Rhinolophus ferrumequinum: one gene and its partners. The protein of the gene in region 1 interacts with the protein of each later gene in a pairwise test. Links are inferred from orthologs where the notes say so. Each region holds a gene or a part of one and is shown in the gene's direction. Other genes may lie near its edges.

What was found.
Region 2: the proteins of DMRTB1 (region 1) and QKI interact in a two-hybrid assay, tested with the Homo sapiens proteins (2 studies listed by BioGRID). The link is inferred for Rhinolophus ferrumequinum from reciprocal best matches to the Homo sapiens genes DMRTB1 and QKI.
Region 3: the proteins of DMRTB1 (region 1) and VASP interact in a two-hybrid assay, tested with the Homo sapiens proteins (2 studies listed by BioGRID and IntAct). The two-hybrid records come from large-scale screens. The link is inferred for Rhinolophus ferrumequinum from reciprocal best matches to the Homo sapiens genes DMRTB1 and VASP.
Region 4: the proteins of DMRTB1 (region 1) and EXOSC5 interact in a two-hybrid assay, tested with the Homo sapiens proteins (2 studies listed by BioGRID). The link is inferred for Rhinolophus ferrumequinum from reciprocal best matches to the Homo sapiens genes DMRTB1 and EXOSC5.

Annotation. Positions count from the first base shown.
Region 1 is NC_046292.1:38,263,773-38,271,052, forward strand, and holds the start of DMRTB1 (doublesex- and mab-3-related transcription factor B1), read left to right. Parts: upstream 1-4,266; coding exon 4,267-4,906; intron 4,907-6,899; coding exon 6,900-7,105; intron 7,106-7,280.
Region 2 is NC_046286.1:103,614,635-103,622,312, forward strand, and holds the start of QKI (KH domain-containing RNA-binding protein QKI), read left to right. Parts: upstream 1-4,662; 5' UTR 4,663-5,163; coding exon 5,164-5,305; exon of another isoform or gene 5,306-5,353; intron 5,354-7,678. UniProt on the Homo sapiens protein: RNA reader protein, which recognizes and binds specific RNAs, thereby regulating RNA metabolic processes, such as pre-mRNA splicing, circular RNA (circRNA) formation, mRNA export, mRNA stability and/or translation.
Region 3 is NC_046298.1:41,839,625-41,847,300, forward strand, and holds the start of VASP (vasodilator-stimulated phosphoprotein), read left to right. Parts: upstream 1-4,656; 5' UTR 4,657-4,996; coding exon 4,997-5,001; intron 5,002-7,676. UniProt on the Homo sapiens protein: Ena/VASP proteins are actin-associated proteins involved in a range of processes dependent on cytoskeleton remodeling and cell polarity such as axon guidance, lamellipodial and filopodial dynamics, platelet activation and cell migration.
Region 4 is NC_046298.1:39,685,712-39,692,743, reverse strand, and holds the start of EXOSC5 (exosome complex component RRP46), read left to right. Parts: upstream 1-4,029; 5' UTR 4,030-4,097; coding exon 4,098-4,233; intron 4,234-7,032. Other genes in the region: BCKDHA (2-oxoisovalerate dehydrogenase subunit alpha, mitochondrial), read right to left, coding at 3,485-3,589. UniProt on the Homo sapiens protein: Non-catalytic component of the RNA exosome complex which has 3'->5' exoribonuclease activity and participates in a multitude of cellular RNA processing and degradation events.

The DNA of each region.
Region 1 (7,280 bases):
ACAGGGCTCCAGGGTTAGGAAGAACCACCCTGCCTAGCACAGTGCTAGTTCAGGGCCATGCCTCGCCTTGAGTACATGCCCCACCTGGAACAACCACCCCAAAGAAAACCCCACTCAACTCCATTTTAGTCTTGCAATACCTATGCGAGTCCTAGTTACTTATTGCTCCGCTTTCTGAAAGAAAACCAAGGGCAGGGACTAGACGTCTGGCCATGGTGGGTTCTATCTGGTTCTTACCATGTCATTTTCTCTCCTTAGTCTTAGATAGCGACTCCCATAATTTCCCCCAAGGAGTCCCTACAAGACCTGGCTACTGCTTCACTTCTACACCTCATCTCTCTCCAGTCTTCTGACCTCACATACTATCGCTACCCTGCAGGCCTTCACACATGCTGCTCCGTCTGCAACACACCCCTCCTGCTCCTGTAGCTGGCTAATTCCTACCCAATCTTTAAGGCCTCAGCTTAGAAGTCAGCCCCTTAAGGAAGTCTTCCTTGGTTTCTTGATCCAGGTTAGGCCCTTCATAGGGGTTCCCATAGCATCCTGGGTATCCCCCGCTCAATCCCCAGCTTTCACCTGGAATTATTTTTTAACTGTGTGGTTTGCCAAAAGGTATGCCTAAAGGTAAAGATTCTGTCGTTTTATTTACTTCTGTGTCCCTTGTGCTTAGCATATAGTTGGTACTCAATAAATATCAGCTTTGGGTGGAGGAATGCAACTAAGCAGGGCATCCCAGGACGTTTCCCCAGGTTGCTACCACTTTCACCCCCTTTTGTCCCACCTGTAGTAAGGTATGTAATATGACAAACATTTCTATTCATTATCAAAGTTTCCTTGAGGAGAGCACTGTGTTTGTTTAGAAGAAATATGTAGTTAGCAGTTAATATGCTTAAGAACGTGGATCTTGAGAATAGATTTCCTGGTTTTGAATCATGGCTCTGCCACTTAATGGCTGGAAATCTTTGGGAAAATTACTTATCTTCTCTAGGCCTGTTCCTCCACATAAAATGGAGGTGAAAATAATGGTACCTACCTTAGAGTGTTGTTGTGAGGATTATATGAACACACATAAAAGACTTAAGAATTACTGGCACATATACAGATTTAGTGCTAGCAACTATTATTACTATTATTAAACTATTAGGGGTAGGGGGTGAGCTGAAGGGAATCAAAGCTGATCCCCAAATTCTGCTTGTCAAGAGAGTGGACCTGTTCACCCTGGGCTTTCTGTTTTGTATGATGTTTGGGGAAAGTTGCTGAAGCCAAGTTGATTTACTGCTAATTAAGGAGGCGATAACTTTGACATTGGCAGGGGAGGGAGGTAAGATTCACTTATACATTCAATAAATATTTACTGAATATCTATTGTGTGCTAGACATAAAGGACAATAAGATAGATGCAGCTATTACAGCGCTCTCGCCAAATCAAAAAAGGAGGCAGAAGCTAGAGAGGTTGGGTACTGATGGGGGCAAAGGGGGAGGAGAGGCCAGTTTCTCTTGAGTGGGTGTGGCACAACAGAAGAGGATCTTGAGAGAACAGAAATGCTAAGGCAGAATTTTCAAGCATCTGCTACAGGATGTGTCATGTAAATCCTGCCTCCATCCCTACAAAATCTTCAATAAAGTTTTCATTGCTCACTAGAGTGAGCCTGAAGAAGGGGAAGATAGCAGCTATCTGGGTTATAGCTGTCGGGGGAAAGATACTATAAACAAAAAAAAGAGCCTTCTTTATTCTTGTGTGCTACCAGTAAGGAAGCATTGCAGTGCATGCAATATTTAATGATTATAAATGATACCCCAATGCACTGCATAATACAGGCTCTTTAAAATGAATATGAATTAAACAGTATCAATAGCAACCATATTAACCAAAGAGAAGGCATTATTCGAGGTAGGAAACTTGGAATCCAAGGGAAAAGGGGCCATTATTGACTGAAGTTGGGAGTCAGATATGACTACCAATCAGCTCCTTTGTGGTTAATTAGTCAAACTGGTGATTCCTCAACAATTCTAACTTGTTATTTTATAAACCATTGCTTATAATGATGCAGACTTTCTTAAACATAAATTTTCTAAGGTTTAGGTGTGGGGAAGGGGTTCATTGTGTGCTTATTGCTCCCATCCTTTTTTGACCTCTAGTTTTTCACTTTGATGTTATTACCATCTTTTAAAATACATTTCTTTGAATATATATGTATATATATACATATATATGTATGTGTGTGTGTGTGTGTGTGTGTGTATAAAGGCAGCAGCTTAAGAAGAAATCAGTCCTCAATCTAAATAAAACAAAACTATCAATTTGCCTGAATTTCCAAGAGTGAAATAAATAAAGCTCTGTTGGAATTTACCTACATAAATTGCGACTTTGGGGGGAAGAGAGAAATAAACTAGTGTTTTCCCCCCTTAGATTTATTTACTGTATAAACCCTGGGGTTTCTACATCTTATAATGTGACTACTGATTAAAAAGATATGTGGTTGTTTATTAATGTTCTCAAAGCACCATGCAAATTCTCATCACCTTGGTTGTATTTTGCCCCCAAAGCTATGAAGTAAATACGGAAGCATTTTGTAGTTAACAAGGCTAAAATATGTTAATTCAAATAGTTGGCTTTGAGTAGAATTTTACTTTATATCATTAATAGAAAAATGAAGAGAGCTTGGGTAGTCAAGCATGAAATATAAATAGAGTAGTTTTCTTTTTTAGGCCTTATCATCTGATGTTAAAATTTAAATTTGGTACCATAGAAACTGACCTTACAATTTGCATCATCATGAAACAATGCAGCTTATACCCCAGATTTTTTGACAGTAGTACTGTAACTGTGATTTTTATGTACCATTTTCAAATGAAAAAGTCTGTGAAAAAATTAGATATTTTGAATTGGGTAGAGTCAGAAAAAGAGCTTGACTGTCTTTTTATCTATGGGACCATGTTTTAAATAAAAAATTAAGATAGAGGGTGTTAGAGCAAAGCAGAGACAAACTTAGATCTCTCCAAATGGGTGACATTCATGACGAGCCAAATAATACAGGAAGGACATACTCTTGCCCTCTTAATGGGAAATATATTTCTTTAAAGCAGAAAAAAGACTTTACAAACCTCTTTTTCAGCTTCCCAGTATCTAACAGGCCTCAGAATGGCAGCCATTTCCTATTCTCAGGTAGCTGGTGAGAAATGCATAGTTCAGCTGCAACCAGAGGCTCAGGAAAATTAAGGTGGACACAGGGCTATAGCTTCTACCATTCTGCTGCCAGAAAGAGAATTTCAGAGAAAAGGCAATTTAAAATGCACTTGTTTTAGCCAGGTATTAACCATAAGTACCTCCTCAACTATGACTCATGCTATGATTATAAGCTTTCAACTTAGGTGTGAGTGACCCATTTTTTCTTTTCTGGAGCCTAAAAAACCCCCAAAATATCAAAAACAAACCTCAGGGTGTCACAAATTTCTATCAAACAAGAAAATTAAGTGATTTAGTAGCCCTGGGAAACTATGAAGTTTGTGCCAGCTTTTCAGTTGTCCCAAGATTTGGGTTGCTTTACAGTGATAACAAAATTCATGGCAAAGTTAAGCAATGATTCAAGCTCACGTTAAAATATCCCAAGTCTACTTTACTTGAAAGCATTCTAAGTATGCTTTACTTTGGAAGGCATCAACAACAGCAACACACCATCTTCTAGAAATGCATTCCTGTACCAACAAGTTTCTTAAGAAATGGGAATTACCATAAGGACACATCCTTGAGCACCTATAACAGGGCATTGAGCTCTTGAGAATATTCTGGAAGCATCGCTGTGAACCGCATTTTGATGATGATGGCTGCGCCTGCACACTTTTTCCTTTGCAGGGGAGAGAAATAAAATTTAGCAGAAGCCCCAGCTTTTGGAAGGAGAAACACGGTTTGCCTCTTAGAATGCTTTTCTACTGTAATGGGTTTGCTGAGAGGTTCGTTCCACTGTAGCTTTAAATCTGTGGACCACTGAATATCGTTCTGCCTTTTTTGAAGTTAAAAAATACCTTGTCTGTGGGGTGGCGGGAATAGAAACTTTGGAAAACTAAATGCCTAAGACTTCAGATAATCCAGATGACATATATGCAATAACGTTCCATGAAGAATTTATTCAACCCAAACCCTTGCGTCTAATGAACCAATGCACAGAAACTCCAAATTTTGCACCCTCCAAAAGGGAGGGAAAATGCAAAGGTCTTGCTGCAGCTCCCGGGACGTACTGAGAGCTGTTTTGTTACAATTGTATCCAAATGTCCTCAGCACCAGAGACTTCTGGGGCGCTGCTCTTCCCTGCTCCACTTGCTCTGCAGCTCCCAGAGGAGGCGGTAGGTGCTAAGAAGGCAGACCTTGCCAAGCTGGCCGACAAGATGCTGCGGACCCCGAAGTGCTCGCGGTGCCGGAACCATGGTTTCCTGGTGCCAGTCAAGGGCCATGCTGGCAAGTGTCGCTGGAAGCAGTGCACCTGCGAGAAGTGCTACCTGATCACTGAACGCCAGAAGATCATGGCCGCGCAGAAGATGCTCAAGAAGCAGGCCTCTGAGGAAGAGCATGAGTTAGCCTCCGGGGCCACGGCTGTTGCCTCGGCCTCCAGCTTCCACCCGCTGCCTCAGCTTGCAGCTTCTGGAGACGCGGAGCCAGCGGGCCCCGAGGGCCGCGCGGCCACCTACGTGCTGGAGAGACCACCGCGGGGCCCGAGCCCCGGCCCAAGCGCCTTCCAGCCAGTTCTGGGCGGCCGCGGCCACATGGGGCCCAGCGAACGAGCTGCTGTGGCTGTGCCCAGTCTTGTGGGGCCCCAGCTCGGGGTGGAGGCCGCAGGCAGGGGAGGCCCCGGCCGCCTGGAGTTGCGCAGGCCCATGCGTCCCGTGCCCAGTCCGCCGTTCGCCGACTTCGGTAAGATTCCTAGGCCCCGTGCGGCCTTGTCCCCAGGGTCAGTTCCTTTCCGGGCTGCAGCCTCCGTGCAGGCCGCGCTGGCGTCCTAGGCCAGCCTGGATCCCGCTGCCTGGGATGGGCCCTAGGGGTGGGGGTGGGGAAAATGCTTTCCATAGGTAACCTTGCTTTGAGAAACCTTTACTGAATAATACAAAATTGGGTTGAGCGCCTTTTTTGCAAAAAGGTAAAAAGAGCGATAGAAGGGAGTGGGTGGTCCAGACAGCTTTTAACATTTAGCTACAATTTTTGCCTTTCCATCTTGCAATAGAAAATGGCCCCCAGTCGCCTTAGCTGTGGCTCCTTTTCATGGGGGATATTGGCTCCACTGCGCTTGCGTACCTCTTCCCGCCCTTTTCTTTGACTGGAGGCTCCTCCCCCGGAACGTTGTCCCCCACACACCCTACAACGATTACTGATCCTGTGTACTCTTTCTTCCCTTTCCACAGGCTAGAGGCTTCTCCCAGAGGACCTCCTTTCCATTGTCCCAACCCGCTTGCGCGTCCTTTCCCGCTCTTTTCTTGGGCTGGAGGCTCCTCTCCTAGGACTTACTTCCGGATGAGCGCTCTCAACTATGACTGCGCCTGCGCACCCACCTTTCTACCTTCTGGAGGCCCCGCCCTTACCCGTGCCCTGGCTCATTGCGCCTGCGCACCCCTTTTGGTACCCTATCCCGCCCTTTTCCTACGAGTGGGTGGGAACGGGACAGCGTCTCTGCTCCACGCAGGAAGAGAAAGTTGGTTCATTGAGATGTTGACTCTTTTTTTCTCCTTTGCCACCATGTTCGTTAAAATACAACTCCCAAGTCATGTGTAGATTTGAGGCTTTTAAACAACAGCTCTTTTTGAGTGCAGACGTATGTTGATTTTCCCCTATGGCATGTGGTAAAAAGACCACAAGTCTGAGTCAGTAGCTGGGGACTACTCACCCTGTCACCTTAAGCAAGCTCCTTCCTTCTGTGGCAGTCTCTTCTCTCTTATGCTAAGGGGATTGGCCTGGATGCTCTCTGGAGGCCATTTCTGCCTTATGGGACATTCTTGGAAAATCTAGGTCCCTAGGGAACTAGATGGGGAAGGCAGACCTGAAACAGCAATCCTAGGAGGATGTTTCCATGGACATAGTGCCTTTCTTTGTTCCATCTCTCAGCAAACAGACTGAGCACTTAGTTATAATACGGTGTTTCCCAGAAAATAAGACCTAGCCGGACAGTCAGCTCTAATGCATCTTATGGAGCAAAAATTAATATAAGACCTGGTCTTATTTTACTAAAATATAAGACCAGGTATATAATATAATATAATAAATATAATATTAATATAATATAATAATATAATATGAGCTGGTCTTATATTAATTTTTGCTCCAAAAGACACATTAGAACTGATTGTCTGGTTAGGTCTTATTTTGGGGGAAACACGGTATGTGCCAGTGATGAAGTGGTGAGGGGGGGAAAAGTCAGATTCCTTGCTCTCAAGGATCTTGTCCTTGTGGGAGGGACATTACTGATCAAAGAATTACACAAATCAGTGTATAGAGCTCTAATAATTAATGGTTTAGCTGTGGTATAAAAGAAGAAGAGTAGGAGCCTAGTAATGAGGACTTAAAGAGGCAAAGTGGATTTAGGGGAGAAAGCCTTCCAAGCCGAGGGAACAGCAATTGCAAAGGCCTTGAGGTGGGTGAGAAAGAAGAAACTGCTATGTTAAGTACTGGAGGAGTCTGGAGTGGAGGCAGGAACCAGCCTGCATGGGGCTTCATGGCTGTGCCAAGGACTTTTTCTAAGAGCAGTATGATATGGTAGAAAGGTTTAAAAAGCAGGGAGGGTCAAAAGCATAATGGATTTGGGAGTTCTTTGTAAATGGATCTGTGTTTACTATACTGCTGTCGCTGGACAGTAATGTGATGCTCTTTTTCCTAGCTCTTTGTGTTTTTAACACTTCCTCATTGCTTACCTTTTCAGGGTTCTCTCTGAGCATCAACTCGGATTGTGCAGTGGGGTCTGAGTACCTGGAGAGAGAGCCTTCCAAGTTGTACCCCGGTTGCTCCAGCATGCACACTTACCACCCGTTCCCGCTGGGCTACCAGGATGCATCCCCGACCCCGGGGATCCCCCTGCAGTGGGGCTTTCGGCATGTGTCCTGCAGCCACTACCATGGAGGAGGCTTGGTGAGTGCCATCCTGACTTCTTTCTGGGTTTCTCCTTATTCCATTTGCTCTTGCTGCTTTTACATATCCTCAGTCCCAGGAAACCAGTTGATGGGCGCAGTGTGTACCAGGCCCATTGACCTTGTACAGTGTGCGCCTCTGGGAGTACACATGTGTAGACAAGTTCAATCACGTA
Region 2 (7,678 bases), on another chromosome or scaffold:
GTGTTTGCACAATCAGATATAAATGTGCCTCACTGACTGGAATCCATGGTACTATTTTATTGATTAATTTCCTTGTATTAAAAAAGAAACTTCCTACGTCTCTTCTCTATGAATACTTTAGCTTGAAATTCAGGGCCAACCAAAATCTGGCATCTACTACTGTTGAGGAAACTCCTACCTTAAAGCCTCAGACTGTCCCACTTTCCAAGTTTTTGTCAGTGCCCTCCCTGAGCACTTGTATGGTTTCTTCCAGCCTGAGATCAAACCCACCTCCGGGGCAGTTCTGCTTAGGCTTCCAGGCCTGGAGTGGCAGTGCTCATTTCCATTCCTACAGCATTTTGTCTTTCTCATTTACTTTTTTTTTCATGGACGGTGTAGGTGCCTGAGCACTGCAGTATACACCTGAAGCTAAAGCTGAATAATAATATCATTTACTTTTATTAGTTAACTTGTCATATGTGTGTGATATTAACCCTCAGCTTAGCTCCTAAGTGCCCCAGGGTTCATTGAAGACAGGTATTCAAATATTTATTGATTAAGATATTCACACTTAAAATGTGTCCTTTTCAACCTTTGAAATGATAAGCCATCTCACAATTTAAAAGGAGACTCAAAAAATCTATTAAGACAATAAACAAAGATTGACTTTACAAAGATACTGGGAATGTCCCATTTCCTCCTAGGAAAATTTAAGGATTTAAGATTTTTAGAAAGAACATTTGGGACAAAAAGCCATCAAAGACTGATTCTTAAATCCAAGGAATATTTGCATTCCTGCAAGAACTCCATGGTGATGAAGAAAAAAAAGTGTGGAATACTATAATTCTCTATTTAAATGTCAAGAATAGCAATAAGCAAATAGAAAATCAAATTTAGAACAGAAAATATTATTCCCACTCATGGTTAATTACTGATGTTTGATATGGAACCATTTTAGTGTCAACATATTAAATGACATAATTTTTCACAACGACAAAAAACCATTATAAGGATCTTTCCAACTGGAAGCTTACCCATACATATATTCTGAGTATGTTGTAACTTGTCAATGTCGTATTACGATATGTTTGTAATAATGTGATTGAAGAGTCCACATTAATTTTTAGATTTTTAAGCATCTTGAAGGCAAGTGATTTTTGTATTCTCACTGCACTTATTATATGTTGGGTAGTGAGTGGTGTACTATAGACCTCAAATGCCGGAGGCAGGAGTGTGACGGAGAGAAGGACGGGAACTGTGGATAGTGGCCTTGTGTGCAATGAGGCACCTGGCTCTTCACGCCCGTCTCAAACCTCTGCTGTACTGATTACAAGAAATAATGTAGATAAGGGTTTTGCATAGTTCCTGGAACATAACAGTACTTAATACCTTTTTTGAACATATTTTTAAAGAGTGCAAACATATACCACATGCTGTTCTAGGTGTTGGGAATTCCAAATAGAACAAAATTGAGTCCTTGCTCTTGTGGAGCTTACCGTGTAGGGGTCGGTGACAGACAAACCTACCCATAGACAGAATGTGTCAGGTGGAAATAAATGCTATTTAAAGAATTAAAAGGGGAGTAAGCAGTCTGTGTGTGCGCGCGCACGCTGTGGTAAGGGAAGCCTTCTCCCATCAAGAACTGAGAAAGGGTGGGAGTCAGGCTTGCAGGTGTGTGGGGAAAACTGCAAGGAGAGGAAACACCCAGTGCGCAGCCCAACAAACTCAGGAAGAGGATTTTACTTCCCCTTTTTCTTAAAGAGATCCAGATAGAAAAACCTACTACAGGAAGGGACCTTGGCATAATCACCTTGAGCATTTTCACCCTAGAATTAGTCAGGAATACTCCAAGCATGTTTACTAGCCACCCACTGTGTCCAATGCTTTGCCTGTTTAAGGATGGGGGAGGGGAGGGAATTTTAGGGTCTAGGGGAAGAGGGGTGGACATAAGGTCAGCGAAGCAGCAGGGGGTCAGAGCACATGGACTCTTGGTAAGCAGGCCTTGGTAAGAACTTCGGGTTTTTTATTGGAGAGGGGAAACCATTGAAGAACTGTGAGCAGAGAGGTGAAGTGACCCATGTGAATTTGAAAAGCTAATACAGAGTAACTACTATTGCCAAATGCTGTAACCATAGGGATTTACTACCAAAGAGTGCCTGTCTTGGTTCTTTAACTCTGATCTGGTTCACCTCCTATAAGTAAGTACGTGGTGAAGTCATATGATATTCCAGTTTCTATGGGTCAAAAATGGTCAAACACTGTCAAAAGGTTCAGTGTGACTTATTGGGGTGCAAAGAACATGGGCTTTGAGTAAAATATAAGTGGATTTGAATCCCAGACCTAGGACTCATGAGCTACAGTCCTGCGCCAGTTACTTAACCTCCTTCTCCTTGGTTTCCCCTTATATAAAATGGGGATAACAGCATGACCGACGCCACAAGGTTGAAGTGAAGATTAAATAATACACATGTAAAGCACTTAGCACAGGACCTAGGAGTTTAATATGGAGGTGAACCAATTAAGAAGGGGGACTGAATCTTTTACACTAGCAGATCAAATAAATAATTTACTACCCAAACCCTTTCAAACCACTTATCATTTTGCTAGGTATTGAAGAAGCACACCTTACTTCAGTTTTAAAAGAGACAACAGCTTTTTGATGAAATCACTATTTCTTGCATTTTTATAACTCATCCTTTAAATAATTAGTATGTGAATATTCTATGGCGCTATTAACTGCAATGGATGTCAGGTAACTTATTTGAGAGTTAAACGTTAACTTTGTCCACCAAGGCAATTGCATTTCCTCTATCAAAGTAGCTTAATTTTAAAAACTCACTGTGTTCTTCAAATGAACAGGCCAGAAGTTACTTGCCAAAGAGAATTTATTTGAAATTTACTTAGTAGCTTCAGTGCAACTCAATCTTAAAAGTTCCTAAGAATTTGCTTGAAGCAAAATTTTACCCCAACCCCCCCCCCCCCCCCCCCCACTTAGGTTCCCAGTTAAAACACAGTACACACGATTATCAGAAAATTTCAGGTACAGGTAACTCTCACAATGGTCAGTTTGATAGCAAATAGTTGTATCTAAATTATTAATTGAACGTCACAAAATGCAGATTTAGTGACTGATAACATTGCAGAAACCAAAGAGAACTACTACATTGTTGTAGTTCAGAAAATTCTTTCCTAAACTAACCTAAATATTTGAAATCCATCATACTGCAGGGAAAAGCCTCTTGACCACTGCATGGTAATTTTTGCAAGTTTGCAAATAGAATGTTGACTTCCGCTTTTCAAATTGGCTATATGCTCTGTGTTTCATTTCTTTACTGTGGCTGCATTTTATTACTGGATACCGCTGCCATCACGAAGCAGAACATTGCAAACGCCATTCTCGATGCTCAGAATTTCCAACGCCGCGGAGCTCATTCCTGACCATAGCTGGCTCTCGGAATAACGGAATGCGGCAGCAAAGCACACCATGTCCCCACAGACGCGCCCACCGCTCGGACAGGTCACTGCACGGGCAGCAGTAACGCCGTCGGGGCAACGAGGGACGCCTACGCTAGACCGGCCGCTCCTCAGACTCCGTCCGCCGCGCGGCTCTCAAAACCGGAGAAGACCGCGGGGACACTAGGAGTCGTCGTGCGGTCCTCTCAGCCACACCGCGGCAGTCGGAGCCCACCGCGAACAAGTCCCGCGGAGGCGGACCCGGAGCCGCACAAACATTATAGCCGGGGCCTGGGAGCAAAGACCTCCTCGGCTTCCCGTCCCCGTCCCGGCCGTTCGGGGTCCGACGGGCCCCGCACCCCTCGCTGTGGTCCCCACACCAGGGCCAGCAGACCCGGGCCCGCACACCCCTCCCCCTTACCCCCTGGGGGCGCGCCCCCTCCCCACGCAGGCGCGCGGCAGGCCCCTCCCATCCTCCCCCTCGCTCACGGAGCCGGGCGGGGGCGGGGCGACCCTCGGAAGGGGCGTGGCCGCAGGCCTCGACACGCGCACGCGCCCTTGCACCTTACGGCTACGTGTCGGGACACGTGACGCCCACCCCGAAAGTCCCCCTTGAAGCAACAGGACGTTAAAAAAAATAAATAAATAAAAGAAATTTGGGGGGTTGAGGGAGGTGGAGGAGAGGAGGAATGAGAGCTTTTTAGAAAACTATAGTAACGGGAGGAGAGGATGAGGTCGGGCAGCGGCGAGCGCAGCCCTGGCGCGTCCTGCTGGGAATCCCTCTCACCTAACGCCACAGCCCGCCAGCGCCCGCCAGACGAGCCGGCCAGGCGGCAGGGAGCGCGAGGCGGCGCGGCACTCGCCCCCGCCCCAGTCGAAAGCACCGCCACCCGGCGCCCTCCTCAGGACGTCGGTCCCTCCGCCCTACACCGGCCCCTCCCGCCGCTCTCATCCGCCCGCGGCGGCGACCCCGGCCCGGCGCCCAGGCCGGGCTCGCAGTGCGCCGCCTCATTCCCGTCGCCCACCCCGCGGGGGGGGACGCGGCGCGGCGGCGGCCCCTGGGCCGGGGGATGCGTGCGGCGGCGGGAGGAGGAGCGTGCCGGCCGCCCCGCTAACGGCCGCCCTGCGCGGCCCCGCCCGCCGCCCGCCGCCCGCCCCCGGCCCTCCCTGCGCCGCCGCCCCTCCCCCCGCTGCCGCCGCCGCCGCCGCCGCTGGCAGCGCCGACTGAACTGAGGCGAACTCCGCGGCCAAGTGAGTGAGGAGGAGGAGGCGGCAAAGAGGAGGAGGAAGAGGAGGAGCGGAGTCAGAGCGCGGCTGCAGCGGCAACGGTAGAGGCGGCCGCGGCGGGGACCAGCCCGGAGAGACCCCGAGCCCGCGGCACAGGCGGCGGCTGAGCGGGCGCGACCAGCAGAGCGAGCGGCGGCGGCCCGGCTCTTCCTCGTCCGGCCCCGAGCGGCCCGCGGAGACCCGCCTCCCGCCCGCCGGCCTCGTGAGGGACGCGCCGAGCCGGCGGCCGAGAAGCGGCGGCGGGCCGGGAGCGCGTCGGGCCGCGGCGGAAAGTGCCTGCGGGGGCGGGGAGAGCGCGGCGAGCGCGCGGTCCGGCCGCCCCAGCGCCCGGCGCGGGAGCGAAGCGGAGCGGGACGCCGAGTCCCGAGCGGCCGGCGGCCGGGGCTCCCCGCCCCTCCCTCCTCTCCGGCGGCGGCGGGCGGAGTGAGCTGCGGAGCCTGGAATATGGTCGGGGAAATGGAAACGAAGGAGAAGCCGAAGCCCACCCCAGATTACCTGATGCAGCTGATGAACGACAAGAAGCTCATGAGCAGCCTGCCCAACTTCTGCGGGATCTTCAACCACCTCGAGCGGCTGCTGGACGAAGGTGAGTCGCCTCCCGGCCCCTCGCGGCCCGCGCCCGGGCGGCGGCCCCTCTTCCCGGGACCCGACGCGCTCCTGCCAGCGTGTGGGGAGGGCGGGAAGGTCGTGGCCAGAGGGGACCGTGCGCCCGGGGACCGTGAGGCCCGGGCGGGGCGCACGGAGGCGGCGCCGAGGCCCGGGGCGCGGCGGGCGGGCGGGGGTCGGCGGCGCGGGCGGGACCCACCGGCGGGACGCCCCCCAGCCCCCGGGCCCCGCGCCGCCCGAGGGCTGCGCTGAGGAGGCTGCACGGCGAGCCTCCCGCGCCCCCGGCTGCCAGCCGCGCCTGGGAGCACCGCGACGGCCCGGAGCTCCGCGGGCCTCCCGGGGAGGAGCCCGGCCCCGCGCCCCGCGGGCGCCTGAAGGACACCGGCCTCGGGGCCGCTCGGGGTGGGGGTCTCCTAACACGGAGATTCCAGTGGGGCTTTTGCTGATTTGGAGTTTGTGTAGCTTGTAAATACTCGGGGGGAGCCGCGTGGGGCTCGTTAACTTAAAGGAATTCCATAGGAGACCGAAAGTAATGCTGATTTAGCCGAAGGCGAGGACAAAATGACAGCGGAAAGCACTTTTTGTCCTTTTGTTTGGGGAAGCGAGAGAACTGTTCGGGAGTTTAACTTCACTGGGGTGGGGGGGGGGGTGTTGAATACGAAATACCGCGAGGACAAACGCTGAACGGAATCCCGAGTTTCAAAGAACTTCGGCGGAGAGCTGCTCCCGAGGACGCCGCTGCCTTGGTTTGTAGGACAGGAAATCAAGGCACTTGAAAGGGCGAAAATAAAAATTAGTGAAAGTTTGCAAAAAAAGAGAAAGCTTTATCCGTGTAGGGCCGCGGGGAGTGAAGAATGACAAGATCAATTTTGGCCAACTCGAGAATTTCTTTACAAGTTCTTGCAGCCCTGACCTGGAATATTAATCTCTATCTAGTAGCTGTGAATTTTTTGGACTAGAGAAAAAAATATGACCAACAAAAACGTCTATTTTGAAAGTCGAGTACCAAAGAGTTTCTTTTTATGTCTAGAAGCATCACCGAAGGACTGTTTAAAGAAAACTGAAAACTTTAATAGTGATGAACAATGGATTTTAGATTTTTCACAAGAATTTCGTGATTTTTACAGTATAGAACTGGGGAAAAGGAATCAAGCTTAGAGATTTGGCATGTCACTAAAGAACAAAAGACCGGAAATGTTTCCGTGATAAAAGATGGTTAAAGAGGAATCCCAGGAGCTTTCCGTTGTCTTGAAAATCATAGAAACAATTTTTAAAGTACAAAACAGATATTACTGAGTCCTCGTCTTTGCTTACATAGGTTAAACAAGCAGCAGCAACCGCTATTGAAATGGTCTTTTCCCCCACTGTTGAAACAGCAAATCTCTTAATTTCAAATTGCTCCAGAGAAAACTTGAGCTGTCCCTTTAAGGGGTTCTGCTTTTCCTATTTGTGTTGGCATTTGAAAGATTGTGGAGGCAGAAAACTTTCTGGAATGTCAAAAAAAAAAAAAAAAAAAAAAAAAAGGCTGGAACTCTTAAATCGAGTATTTCCAAATGTGAGCGCTAAGGGGCGCCAGTTATTTTTTTTAAAACGAGAAATGTTTGGAGCAAACTGTAATGTCAATAATCTGACCTATATTAAATTTAGTTGAAATTTAAATCATAGTAGATTATTTCATCTGTCATTTTGTAATCATATATGTAGTTACAAACATTGAAAACACTTTAAAATTATTGGGACAATTTTATCACATTTCAAAAATAATACGCTATTTTTTAGTTGGCATATTTTGGTGAAGTTACAGTTGTCTCAGTGTTAGTGAAAATTTCTGTTAAGATTTTTTTTTCCCCTTAAGTACAGTTGTTTAGCAGGAATTCTTTATAGTCGTTAAAATGAAAATAGGCCATGATGATATTTAAGATTAAATTGCATTCTTTTAATTTTAAAATGTTAAATTCAATCAAATGGCATAAGGGATTATTTTTAAAAGTTTGGAAATATTTTCACCTCATGCGTACTATTTTTAAAAGTAAATTGAGTTCTAAAAGGCTCTTCGCTTTTGCTTTTATGTTGATCTTAAAACCTCTAAATGATAATTCGGAGTTGGTTCTCTGTTAGAAAGTTTCTGACCTCAATAATTTTTCTGGCTTCAATAATTTTAATCTTCCAAATCTAGAATTCCAATTATGTCATTATCTCTAACAAATGTTCATTTCTCTCTGGTTGGAAATAGTAACCACTTGAGTTTTAAATGTTAGAGGCTACTAGTTGAGGGTGATACATTCTAAATAATATGTATATTTTTTCTTTTTAATGTGGTTTACTCTATTAGTGTTATGTTAGTCTATCTTGA
Region 3 (7,676 bases), on another chromosome or scaffold:
TTCTGGGGGAGGGCTGTACTGCAAGTGAGTCAGGGTAGGATGGGGTAGAATGGGGAGAGGGGTGGCAGGAGGAGGGTCCCCTCCTGAGGGTCTTCCTCTGCTCTCCAGGGCCTCTGTCATCGCTGAAGGTTATTCTCAGCTCTGCCAGGCCTCAGGGGAGCACTGGGAGGTAAGGACCCTGTGTTCTTGAATTTTCTCTTAGAAACATGTAATACAGCACACCTTACCTTCTTTAGTGATGGGGAAATTAAGGCCAGAGGGAACAAGGGACTTGGCTAGTATATTAAAATAAATTCTCACTCCTGGCCTGAAGCACTGTTGGTGGGGAAGGAGAAGCAGACTGTGCTTCCCCTTCAAGAAATGTGCCCCCAGCAATGCTCTGTAAAGCCCCATCATTCCAAGCACCACCCCCTCCATCCAGGAATAAGGCAGAAAAATTCAAGGAATGTTGCTAACCAGTCCCCAGGCCTGGATACACTGCAGACACTAGGTAATCTCTGAGGATGGTCTGGATCTTGGAGAGAGATTGTGAATTGGACCCAGATAGTTTGGGGCATTTGGAGATGTCCAAAGATGTGGTGGGTGAGGTATAAGGAAGGTGTGTAAGGTGGGACTCGGGGGAAATGGGAGGGAGAAAGCTGGGGCCAGAACCCAAAGGCCTTTGCATAGCAGAGAAGAGAGTGGTTATTCGCACTTGAAGGAGGGCTATTGTTGATAGTTCTCAGCAGCAGAAGGAGGTATTTGTGAGGGAAGGAAACCCAGTTCAACCTAGAAAAACAAAACAATTTACTGGGCCATGTTAATTGAAGAGTTCAGGGACTTAAGGCATGACTACATCCAGTTGTCAGATGTAGTTTTATTTCCTCTGAGTTGGCTTCGTTCCCAGGCAGGGTCTCTTCATGAGGTAGCAGCGAGTTGCAGCTCCAGCCTCACATCCTCCAAGCCTAACATCCTCAATGGAGAGAATGTACCAGTTCCCCAGTAGTTGCAGCAGTAGTTTCAGAGCTGGTTCTCCTTGGTAGCACTGGGTCACATGTCTGCTCAAATCACTGTTGTCTCTGATTGGCCAGGCTAGGGTCATATGTCCATTCTTAGTGCTTATGGTTGGGATTCACTGCATCCAAACTTGATGGTTTTAGAGATGGGGAATCGTGGTCCCTCAAAGAAAAATAGGAGTGATGCTTCCAGAATATAGGGGAGTAGATACTGAGAGGAAAAGAAATGCACTGTCTCTTACATTTTCTGTTACAGAAGGGGCAGAACGGGACTGGGAAGGCCACTGGCATCATTCAAGCTCTGCCTTGGACTTGGAGGCCTGACAGCTGTTGTCTTTTGGGGACCCTTTGCCCAGCTGGGGCCCCAACGGAACTAAGAAAACTCCCCTTCCCCAGCTATAGACCAGAGGAAGATGAGCCGATGGAGGGACCCCGGAATGCTTATTTCCCCTTCTCCTACTTCCCTGTCACAGAAAGTCTTAGGAGGAGAAGTTCCTCCCACCATCCGGGGGAGGGGAGAGGAGGAGGAAACCCCAAACCATGGACCCAAGAGAGTTCAACCAATTCAATAACCTTCTCTTTCCATTTTTCATCTGTTTTGGGAGAGGTAGGAGAGAATTTTTATTAAATGTTAATTACGTGACTCAAAATACATTTTTCTTGTAGGAAAAAAACCCCGCAAACATTATTTACCCAGTCATTTGCAAATATGTATTGGGCACTGTTCGTGGCCATCGACCAGGGAGACTCACTGAGATTCGTGCCTATTGTAGGGGCCCACCTAGTATGTGTGTGGGGAAAGAGCAAACAAGAGAACCGATGAATAAGGTCATCTCAGACACTGACAAGTGTCTCAAAGAGAATAAAATGGGATGCGATAAGTAAATCTATTTTGGTTTTTTAAATTGTTATTCATTTATCTTTTGAGTGGTAATAAGTTCAGTTGGTTCAAAATTCAAAGGGTACAAAATGGTGTACAATGAGGTCTTTCTCCATCCCCTGTCCCTCAGCCACTCAATTTTCCACCGGGGGATGGATGCTTTAGACAGGGGCATCAGGGAAGATCTCTGAGGAGGGGACAATTGAGCGGGGACCTGACTCAATTGCTTCCCCGAGAAGCAGCCAGCCATGCAAATAGCCCTGAGAAGAGTGTCTCAAGACAGAAGGAACAGCCAGTGCAATAGCCTAGAAGCAGAATTGAGCTTGGCATTTTCAAGATGAGGCTTAAGAGCTGTATGACCATCGAATTCCCCACAATACCATTCCCTATCCTATTGGTAACCACTACAATGAGTTTGGAGTGGATTTTTCCAGAACTTTTACTCTGCATGTACACCCAAGTTGTTTCCTTGATTGTTTTTTCATACTCTATCATTTGGCAATTCTTAAAAAAAAAAATGTATTGGGGAATATTGCAGAATAGTGTGTTTCTCCAGGGCCCATCAGCTCCAAGTCATTGTCCTTCAATCTAGTTGTGGAGGGCGCAGCTCAGCTCCAAGTCCAGTCGCAGTTTTCAATCTTTAGTTGCAGGGGGTGCAGCCCAGCATCCCATGGGGGAATTGAACCAACAACCTTGTTGTTTAGAGCTCGCGCTCCAACCAACTGAGCCATCCGGCTGCCATTGGCAAATTTTTTTTAAACTTTTGTTTGTTTAAGTGCGTTTTTCCAGGACCCACGAGTTCCAAGTCAAGTAGTTGTTTCAATCTAGTTGTGGAGGGCACAGCTCACAGTGGCCCATGTGGGGATCCAACCGGCAACCTTGTTAAAAGCACCGCGCTCTAACCAACTGAGCTAACCGGCCGCCCTCATTTGGCAATTTTTTTCACTCAGTAATATGTTGGGGACTTCTTTCATGCCACTTACACACCTCATTCTTTTTAGCTGCTGCCCCGTGCTTCAGACAAGAAGATGTGCAATGGTTTTGCTATCCATCCTCTTCTTGATGGACAGGCTATTTTCAGTTTCTTGCCCTCACATAATTGCTGACATAGAGATCCTCGGACAGGCTCCTTGTGTATATATGCAAGGGTTTCTCTAATGCAGGGATCTTGCTGTTCTGCATAGCACTTGAGCTAAGAATGGTTTTTACATTTTGTAGGAGTTGTAAAAAAAAGAATGTGTAAAAGAGACCCTATACCTAATATGCCTAAGATATTTCCTATTTGGACCTTTGTAGAAAAAGTTTGCTGACTGCAGTGCAGGTGGCACACAGAGACACCACATCTCCCATTTCCCAGATGGGAAAGCTGAGACCCAGAGAGAAGAAAGGATTTGCCCAAGGTCACACAGAAACTGGGGTTCTCATTCAGTTGCATAAATGTGTATTGCACTGTTGTTCTGGGCCTGGCTGGCTTAGTGAAACACAGAAATCGATGAAGTCTACCTGTGCCCCCAAAGAACTCACAGCCTGAGAAGACACACAGAGAAACAATTATAACCCAGGTGGATCAGGGTTCAAGGTCACCCAGGGTGGGGTAGAGTAGGGGAAAGGATTACTCAATTCTGCAGAGAAGAATTAATGTTAGAACATGTCCTAGAAGTATGAGATGAGGTCAGGACAGCATCCAGGCAGAGGATTCTTCTTGGACAAAGGCTGGGAAGGTTGACTCCCTCACCTAGTCAACTGGGCCTTAAGAATTGTTGGTTTTACCCTCATACCTTGCACCCAAGTACCACTGGAGTTCTGGGGTTCAGGCAAGAGGGCTTATAGCCGAGATATAGTCCCTGTCTCCAGGCCTCAGTTTACACATTTGGAAACGTCAAACATGATTTCCCAGGCTCCGGCCCCTGGCTAGGGGGCACCTTACCTAGGACAGGTGGCGCTCTATGGGAGAGGGGAGAGGCGGGAATCACAGAAGTGACGTCACGTGGGGCGGAGCCTGCGGTAACCACTGCGGAAGCCTTGGAGGGTGTGCGGTCTCAGCTTGAAGCTGGCCTGTGGGGGAAGGGGCTCGCGGGAGCCACCACTAGGGAGGATCTCCCTGCTTCGGTGCCCTCCAGTTGTGGGATGATCCCGCCATCCTCCGCGGGCGAAACTGAGTCACAGCGGGGCGTGCGTGGGGAAGGGGCCAAGGGTTTTATCCCGGAGTCCAACCCCCACCCCCCTGCGGCTCTGAGTCAGCGGCCGGCCGCGCCCCCTCGGCCCACTTCCTCCTCACCTTCCCCGGCTGGGCGGGGGGCAGTGAAGGGGGTGGGGCCCTCACCACCCATCCCCCTCCCGTGGAGGGGGAGACGGTTCACTCTTAGTAACCTTTTATAAATTGGCCAAGAGAGACATTGGGGGAGTCCGAAGAGAGGATATAAGGGAGGAAATTTGAAAGAACCTATGCTAAACCAGAGGGTCCTCCTCGCCCCCCAACCCCCTAATTGAGCAGAATGTAAAGAAATGGAGAGGTCGATAGGGAAGGTGAAAAGAAACTGCCCCCATTGAGATCCCCCTGAGAACTCCCATCGTGGGAGAGAACTAGGGATCAAGGAAGGATCCCTTCCCGTCCACCAAGCTTGCTCCCTAATTTGGGGGTGACCCCAGCTTGCATCCCTGCAATAACGATGAGGGAGAGGGAAATAGCGGGTCTAGGGTTCCGCGTTGCCCTTTTAAGCGCCCTCCACCCCTCCTTTCCACCTTGAGTTGTACGCGGCCCCTTTAAGGCGCAGGGCATTGTGGGTGTGGGGAGTGGAATTTTGGAACGAAATGTAGCGAAGAGAAGTACAGTAGTAAGAGTAACATTGTAGCTGCCGCTGGCCGAGGGGGCGCGCCGGGGAGGGGACGCCGCACGCCCTTTCCGCCGCAGGGACCCCCGATCAAACCCCCACAGGGAGGAGGCGCCCGAAGACCCGCCCGGGCCGCGTCCACGTTCCCCTCAGGAAGCCGGACTCTATGGGGCGGGACCCTGGGGGAGACTGAGCAGAACCTGGATCCAACCCCGGACCTCTGAACCTCGAGCCAGGGGCTCCCCGGCAGCACCCACCCTGTGGGTGCGCTGCCTGCCTGCCGAGCAGCCATGAGGTGAGCCCCCAACTTCCTACAGACCCTTCTCCACCCGGGGCGGGCTCCCCGCCCCGCCTTTGTCCCCCCTCCCCCCAGCTCGCTCCTGGCTGAAATTTGGGGACCGGCCACTCGGAGCCTCGGCTTTGAGGCCGAACCTGCTTGGATGAGCTCCAAATATTGACCATTTTCCCATGACTCCCAAGGCTCGAGGTGGTACCGGTGAAGCTCTCCAGGGAGCCCTCAGATTTGGGGCGCTCGGAGGACTCCCAAATTTCTTAAAAGACTTCTTCAAAAGACCTCCAAGTTGGCAGATACTCCCTGTAAGGAGGTCAGGATTTAGTCAGGGCTCAGACTCCCCCCAAATCTAAACTCGGACTCAGAGAGGGATTGTGGGGGGCCAGTCAGAGGGTCCCTGGCACCTGAGAGATTGAGACGTAGACATTGGTTTGCAGGGTTCCTCTTTACGTGACGCTGGAAAGTCGTACCATGTGGGACCTCGCTCCTTAACTTCGAGGGTACTTAACCCCCTAAATTTGGAGGGGCTCTTATCCAATGGAAGAGGTGGTTGCGGACGGAGACAGACGTAGCCTACAGGGTCTGGTTGGGACACCCCTCCCCCGCCGCTCCGCACTCCCAATCTGTTTAAAACAGGCCGTGCCTAGGACCGAGGGAGTGCTCTATGCGGAGGGCGGCTCCCCGGCTCTGGGCCAGAGAAGGGCGGCCCCTCTACCCCACCTGCGCGGCCCTGGGAGGGAGGGGGTGCGGCAGCTGTGGAAAGGGGGGCCTTTGTCTTACTGACTCACCTGTCGAGACAGCTGGTGTGTGGGGGGCGGGCCAGGAGCGCTGTGGGCTGGCTGCTTTCCCCACCACGGCGCCTCTCCCTTCTCGCTACCCCAACTCTCCAGCCATCGGAGCTCTGGGGTTGGAGGAGGGGGCGCTGGAAAGCTTCAAGGTCATAGTCCTCTCTTCCCAGGACCCAGGCTTCCCAGATAGTTTCAGCTATCTTCCCAGGAATTTAATCCTGGCGGGGGGGGGACCCAAGGTACCTAAGGATTTTGTCTTACCCAGGCCTGCCTCAAAACTCCTGGGCGCACCTGAGGGCGGGGCCAGTGCGGGCTGGGAAACTCGACTGGATCCCCCCATTCTCTCCTCCCCTTGACCCCCCATAATCTCTCCCTTGGGGCCAGAGCCTGACAATACTATCTCCCTTCCTTTACTCTCTCAGGGACTTCCTGCCCCAAAGCCCCCAGCTTGTGGAGGCGGCCTCTGGGGACGGCTGGGGATTAACCCCCTGGTGCCTACATCCTCCCACTTCCCCCACGTTCCCCATACCTCTGCCCTCTGACATCAGGGTGGCATTCCTTTTTATGACCATTAGAGAATCCCCCTCCCGTATTTGTTTCTTCTGATGCGAAGGAATGGTTGGAAAATTTAGAGCAAGGGGGCACCTAGAGACACCCTCAAGACTTCCTGCCTACCCTTTCTCCCATTATAGCAACATTCCCTTCAAGGTCTGTCTGGACAGGGGGCAGTTTTCAGGAGCCAGGCTCTCTTCACCCTCTTCCCGGAGGTGGGGGGGGACTCTCTTCTCCCACAACCCACAGCCCCCAGCCTCGCCCCTCGCCCCCACCCCCCCGCGTTTCCGGTCCCAGGGACGGTGGAAGGCGGATGGCGGATGTCCGAGTTAGTGCTGCCTCACTCACTGAGACCGTAAAAGGGCAGGAGCAGTGTCTGGGCCGGCCTCCCGCCCCCCCCTTAGCCCAGTCCCGGAGGCCCCGGCCCTCCCACAGGCCCCCTACTAAAGGCCGTGGCCAAACCTCCCACTTCCTGGGGGGTGGGCAGAAGTTGCACTGTTCCCTGTCCCACAAGAGGGTTACTCCCACCTTCTGAGGGGTCTTCCCTGCCAGTGGTCACAGCCGACTTCCTGGGCTTGTGCCCCTTCTCCAAAGACAGCTAGGATTCAAATTGACGCAAGCCCCTGTATGCAGCTAGGGAAACTGAGGCTCAAAGAGAAAGAATTGGCACAAGATCCCTCAGAAATTCCTAGGCAATATTGAGGGAGGGGAGGGGACTGGGATTCTCTGATTTCTGGCTGGTTTAGCTGAGGACAGCCTTGGGGGCAGTTGGAAGAGAACACGTTAAGATGGAAAATTACAAGATAATAGTTCTTTTTCTCCTAGTTTGACAAATATTTGTTGAGTGTCTGCTGTGTCCGGGACTCTGAGCTGGGATTCTGGGAAGGCCGGGAAGCTGGGCAGAGGTCTGAGAATCTCAGGGCAGAAGGGATTCTGAAGAATTTGGGTCCGTTTCTTTCTTCTTCCAGTAATAGTAATTATTATTTTTACTTTAAAAATAATAAGAGACAATTTAATCAGGCATCTACTTTGTGCCAGGCGTTGTAGTAGGTGCCTGATTCAGTTTAATCCTCACAGCAATTCAGCAGTTCTAAGAGATTGACTATTATGATGGCGCCCCACCGCCTGCCAGTTTACAGATGGAAAAACCAAGGCACAGACAAATTAAGCAAATTGCCTATTAAAGCCGAAAGAGTTTGGAAGTGGGCAAGGCTGAATTCGAATCTAGGACTGTCTCCAGACTATTATGCTGTTAAAGAAAAATAAAAATAAAACCTTTAATGAGCTTTACAAGTAAAATACATGCTTTCATTGTACGAATAGTTAAGATAATGGAGA
Region 4 (7,032 bases), on another chromosome or scaffold:
CAAGAGGGAGATGGACCCATACAATTAGATCAGTAAGGACCATCTCCATTCATCCCACAATACACACAGGGCACCAACCACTTGGAGACACTGCAGAGGGTACTAGAGCCCAGACAGGCTGTCTGATCAGTTGGGTCAGAGAAATAACATCCCTGCTAATTCACACAGGGAGCTCTAGGTGCTCCCTGAAATTCCAACAGGGCAGGAACTCTAGTTACCCATTTGCTAAGCAAAGAGAAGTGAAATGACTTGGCTGAGGTCCCACTTGCTTCTTGGGGTGGTGGCTGAGAAACTGACTCAGGACTCCGTGACAATCAAGTCTCCCTCCTGTTCTCCCTGCGCACTAACCTATCTTCTAGCGACTGGAGGGGGAGGGAGGAAGGCAGAATCAGGCAAATGCCTCCACGGTGAAAGGAGGGGCAGACAGGCAGGGAGAAATAAGGCAGCCCCAGCCGTCCTCCCAACCCAGCCACCAGAACAACCCAATCTGTGCACTACAGTCTGTTCCCCCCCACAAGGCGCTATCTCCTGGCTCCACTTTGAACGGCTAAAATTGCACCATCCAACACAAAAGCCAGAAGCCACTTATGTCTATTTAAATTCATTAAAATTAAGTAAGATGCTCCTTGACTGACAATGGTTGAAGTCCAAAAAAACCCAGCATAAACTGAAAATACCATAAATCAAAAATATATTTAAGGGGATGGCCCGGTGGCTCAGACGGTTGGAGCTCCGTGCTCCTAACTCCGAAGGCTGCCGGTTGGATTCCCACATGGGCCAGTGGGCTCTCAACCACAGGGTTGCCGGTTCAACTCCTCGAGTCCCACAGGGATGGTGGGCTCTGCCCCCTGCAACTAAGATTGAACACGGCACCTTGAGCTGAGCTGCCTCCCAGATGGCTCAGTTGGGTGGAGCACGGGCTCTCAACCACAAGGTTGCCGGTTCGACTCCCACAAGGGATGGTGGGCAGCGCCCCCTGCAACTAGGAACGGCAACTGGACCTGGAGCTGAGCTGCGCCCTCCACAACTAAGACTGAAAGGACAACTTGAAGCTGAACGGCACCCTCCACAACTAAGATTGACGGGACAACAACTTGACTTGGAAAAAGTCCTGGAAGTACACACTGTTCCCCAATAAGGTCCTGTTCCCCTTCCCCAATAAAATCTTAAAAAAAAACACACACACACATTTAAAACACCTGACCTACTGAACATCAGAGCTTAGCCTCACCTACCTTGAGCGAGCTCAGAATGCTTACATTAGCCTACAACGGGGCGATTATCTTGAGTTTGTCTCAAGAGTCACTGCCTTCCTTTTTCCTCTCATCAGAAGCAGGAGACACAGATGTGCGTTTTGTAGACATGACAGGGTGTGAAAACACAATATGCAAAAAGCGCTGGCAACACAGAACACTGTAGAGTATTAGCTGTTCGCCCTCGTGAGCGTATGGCTGACTGGGGGCCCACTGCCTCTGTCCAGCGTCACGAGGAAGTACCGTACTGCATATCATATCGCCAGCCGAGGAAAAGATCGAAATTCAAAATTGAAACAAGTTTTCTACTGAATGTGTATTGCTTTCCCACCATCATAAAGTTGAAAAATGTTAAGTCGAACCATCATAAGTTGGCAACTGTCTGTAAAGTGAAAACTTCGGTCCCTCAGTGGCACTAGCTACATTTCAGGCTCAGTAGCCACGTGTGGTTAGTGGCTACTGTACTGAACAGTGCAGATATAAAACACTTCCATCACTGCAAAAAGTTCTATTGACAGCCTGGCCTAAAATCTTTGATTAAATGCTACTCCTCCTTCCTTCCACTCAAAAAAAAAAAAAAAGTGTTATTTTATATCTTAGACCAAGTGGAAGAAATAAAAGAGGGGAAGAAAAAACAGGGACTCCAAAAATATACATACTTAAAAATATATGTAAATAAAAAGTAGGGATTCTGAAAGACCTCCTCCTCCTGTCGCGCACCCCTCCCACCAAAAAAAAAAAAAAAGAAATGAACGAGGGAAGGGCAGCAGGGTGACTGAGTCAAGAAGGAAGAATATTTTTTTTTAATTTATTGGGGTGAGAAACAATATTTAATCAACCACAAATGACCCTTCCCTACACTTTCACCAGTCCTGCCCATCTCGCACTGACTCAGCCAACAGGCTCCTGTGACTGAGAACAGCTTTTTTTTACTGCTTTAAAAAAAAAACAAAGCAACACAGACAAACCCAAAGGCAGGAGACTGCCCTACCCACATCCTGCCCCAGCAGCCCTTCCAAAATCCAGACGCCCTTCCAAGGATCCCTCCCCTCATTCCCGACCCATCCTCTTCATCCTCCTCCCATGTTTCTCCTCTTATCTAGAGCTCCTTCCCACAGCTTCCAGCTTTCCTATGTTCTGGATTGGAGGGTCAGAGGGTCAGACCCAACACCACAAGATCCTGACAAATTCTCTCCAAGGCCCTCACCAACCCAGGCTCTACCCAGGTCACCCTTCTTCTCCCTCCCTTTCCTCCTCCCTCACTTTCAAAAGTGGCCAACGTTCCTATTGTCCTTATCATATGCCAGGGCCAATTCTTAGCATTCTATATATTTAATTTTCACAACAATACTATGTAGTGCCACTGTTAGCATTTTCCCGAGGGGGAAAGAAATTAGGTCCAGAGAGCAGCAATCCCTTGCCCAAGGCTACACAGCTGTAAACTTGTAGATTTGGGATATAAAACCACGGTGGTCTTGCTTCATAACCTACCTTCTAAACAACTATTCTCTTATTGTGAAACTTCAGTTCATAGTTCTAAGGTAGCCCACAGGGACTTCCAGTTCGATGTGTTTCTAAAAAATGTGGACAAAGTGCCCTGTGGACCCCTCTCCCTCGTTTTCTCCTCTCATTACTTCAACAAATATTTACTGATCATCTCCTTTATAGAGTGATCAAAACAGACAAGATCCCTGTCCTGGTACTTGGTGAGGCGGCCCAGGACCAAACAACTTTTTTATGCCATCCATTTAAAAATCAGAATTGCAGCAAAGGAGCAAAGAAATACAGAGCACTATGAAAGCCGGTAGCAGGGGACGTGATCTCTCTTTTCTCCTCTTTGAAGGTGGGGGTTCTTGACCGAACACAAAGTCTTCCCCTCACTAAGGCAGTTTCACTCTCCACCCCCCGTGGGCAAAGGTCTCCTCTCCTTCTCTGGTCTCTCCAGGGGGCCACCCCTCCCGTGGGGGGTGGGTGGCAACTAATGAGGAACCCCCCCCTCTTTTTCCAAGTTGTATCCCTCCTTCAGGATCCCCAAAGAAGCTGCCTCGCTTTTCCTCTTTTAAGGAAGTGGAAGGTCTCCCTTTGAGTGTCCTCTCCAAGTGGTTCTCCCTACCCTTGTCCCTTCTGTGACAGCCCTTCCTTCTCTCCCTGCAGGGACCCCACACTCTAAAGACAGCGTTGACACCCCTAGTCCCCCTTGGGGAAAACTCCCCGGTGCCCCAGGTACTCACAGTTCTAGCCAGCCGCCGAACCCCAAGCCGCCGCAGGAGCAGGCCAACATAGCGCGAGCCTCTACTTGGTCCCCAAATCCGCGCCGCGCCAGCCGCCATCGCCATCTTGACCAACAACAACTGCTCTGCGCTCCTCCCCTCTCCTCCGCGAGACTGGGAGCTGCCCCTTCCTGAGCCTTACTCAAATGCCAGCACCACCCTGCCAAGAAACCACCTGCTACTAGTCCTGCGGTCTCTACGACATCTATATATGGGTGTATGAAACAACCTAGCTACCCAAAAATTACTCTGATCGCCTCATCACAGTTGTTTCTGTAACAGGCAAAGAAAAGGGCAACGTGACCAGAGCCTCAGGATTTTAAGGCCCGGGGGCCTCGGGTAGGACGAGCCCATGCCAAGGCCCGCCCCGCCTTCTCTACTGTCCAATGCTCCTTCTAGAATTGTGAGGCAGGAGGGGGCGGGGCCAGGTTGTTAGTAAACGGGGAGCCACGTGCGGGCCCCCGAGCTGGGCTGTCCGGGATCGGCGCGTGCGCACTGGGTACGCCGCCTGTACGCAAGCGCGCACTCTGTGCGGAAGCGACAGCGCGCGTGGTTTGGTCTTGTGGAGGGGGCGATGCAGACTGACGCCAAGATCCGCACTGCGGGTGGAACAGAGCCGGGCCCTCAGGGCCCCGGCTGCAGCCTCCGGCACTTTGCCTGCGAACAGAACCTGTTGTCCCGGCCGGATGGTTCTGCCTCTTTCTTGCAAGGTGAGAACTTAAGCCAGGTAAATACTGCCGGAGCCACGGCCATCCAGGTCGTATTTGTTTTAGGGGGCGCCAAAGGTGTAACGTGCAAAGAATGCCCACCTCTTTTGATACTAGTAGGTAAATGTCGCTCCTGAACTGGTACAGAACGTCTTCTTCAGGTGGATACTACTAAATACGTTAGGATGCAAATATCTCTCCCGACTAGTAGGGAGAAGATATCTCCACCCTGGTAAATGATTATAAGGAGAGAGGTGCAGACCTCCCCATAAGCGTGAATACTCCAGAACAGGGAAAATCAAACCAAGATAAATGTCCCCCTTGATTTGATTTCCTCCTCCTCCACACACACACACACCCCTACCCCTGAGTCCTTACGTCCCAGGCAGAGGCAAACCTGCCAATTTGCATAAATGCCCCATTACCGGCTTAATTTACTCCCTGCAATGGCAGATCTTTCACCCAAGTAAATACTTTTCATGTCATAGGTGATGTCTGCACCCTGGTAGGAGATTTTCCCCACCCCCACCCCACCAATTGGGTAAATATCCCTTTGACAGGGATACACATCTCTCCATGTGAGTAAATATCCCTAACATTGGAGCAGGTCTTGCCTATTGGGTAAGTATTCCCTTCCTCTAGCTAAATACCTCTCAAACTCCCTGACCCGGGTAAATAATTCCTCTAAAGATAGGCCTAAGGATTACCCCTATAGATGCTTCAGTTCTCTCCCTAGGGCACTAGCTTCTACTCAATTACAAACCTGCTTTCATTCATTTCTTCATTCATTGGACACATGTATTTGTGCCAAGTACCGTTCCAGGCACTGAGAATATATCAATAAAAATATTTTAAATCCCTGACCTAATGGAATTTACACCCTAATAAAAAAGACAGACAGTAAATAAGATAACTAAGTAAAATGTTATGGAGAAAAATATAGTAGGAAAGGGGAATAGAGTACGCCCGAGAGGGTTGCAGTCTTAAATAGGATGGTCAGAAAAGGCTGCAGTAAGATGGTAACATTTGAATAAAGACCTAGAGGTAAGGGAGCAAACCCTGAAAATAAACAGGAGTGAAGAGCGAAAGCATCCCAAGCGTGAGGAATAGCAGGTGCAAAGGCCTTGAGGCAAGAACTTGCTTGATGTGTTTGAGGAAGTGAGACCAGTGTGCTGGAGCAGTGAGTGAGAGGAGGTTTGGAGAGAGGTACTGAAGCTTGCCCATCGTACAAGTTTATGGCTTAGTGAATGAGGTGGGAGCCATTGGAAGTTTTGCTCAGAGGAGTGACATGATCTGAATATATTTTAACAGAATCTCTCTGGATTCAGTGTTGCCTGGAGATGGTATGGGGAAAGGGGGAGGTCATGGTGGCCCAGACCAGAGTGGAAGCAATGGAGGTGGTGAAATTCTGGATGTATTTTGTTGGTAAAACCGACAAAATTTGCAGATGGTTTGGTTTGGGGGTATGAGAAGAGAGGAATCATGCTAAGGTTTTTGCCCAGATCGGCTGTGCTAGGGCAAGATGAGTTCAGTGTGGAACATGAAGTTTGCGGTGCCTAGTGGATACTACAGTGGCAATCTGGACCGGGCCATTGGACATACAAGTCTGGAATTCAGAGGAGGGACCCAATCTGGACATACCATATGAAATCCTCTGGCTATCGATGGTATTTTGAGCTCTTGATTGAATGAAATCACCTAGAAAAGTGGAGTGTAGATGGGAAAGAGAAGAGGTCCCAGGACCAAGCCCTGAGTCTTCTCACTTGTGAGGAACTACTGTGTTTCCCCGAAAATAAGACCTAGCTGGACAATCAGCTCTAATGTATCTCTTGGAGCAAAATTAACATAAGATTCAGTCTTATTTTACTATACAGGTCTCAATATATAATATATAATAATATATAATATAAGCAAAATCAATAGAAGACCCAGTATTGTATTATATTACATTATATTGTATTATATCATATTATATTAGACCTGGTCTTATAGTAAAATAAGACTGGGTCTTATATTAATTTTTGCTCCAAAAGACGCATTAGAGCTGATTGTCCTGCTAGGTCTTGTTTTGGGGGAAACACTGTAGCAGAAGACATTGAGAAGGAGCAGCCAGTAAGACAGGAGAAAAACTGAAAGAGGGCGGTGACCTAGAGCCCAGAGAAGGCGTTTGAGATGTGAAGGTCTGACTAGCTACATCAGTCCTACTGAGGGGTTGCATCACATGAGGATGGAACAGACCTGGGGGTTGATTGGTGATGCTGTCAAGAGATATTCCAGTGGAGTGGCGGGGTCAAGGAAAAGAGGAAAAGGAGATAGCAAATGGAGACAGCTCCTCAGGAGCTTGGCTGTAAGAGGATCAGATTCATGGGGCCGGAGTTGAAGATGGATGTGGGTCTGGAGAGGAGAGAATTGCTCTAGAGAATTGCTGGTGCCATGTAGCGGAGAAGGTGAGAGGAAGGACTCCTGTGCTTAAGGGGACGGCAGACCGCTCATCGGGAGTAAGAGGAATAAAGACCCCAGCGTGGATCTAGTTCTTCTTGGGTAACTTCGCCCTTCAGGGTAGATTCTCCGGGAGCACAGAGAACCCCTCAGTTGTGTGGCAGCTCTTCCTCCCTCAGGAAAAACAGCCCCAACAGAGGACCTTCCCAGTCCCACCCCCAGGCTTAGCTGTCTTGCTAAAATCAGACGCCTGGAGTTTGTTAGCGCCTTCCTGTTCTAAAACCCCAAAGCCCCAGGACCTTGGAGCAAGGGGAGTCCTTGAAGACCCTTAAAGGTGTGTTCCAGGTGCTTTTGGCCTCAGAA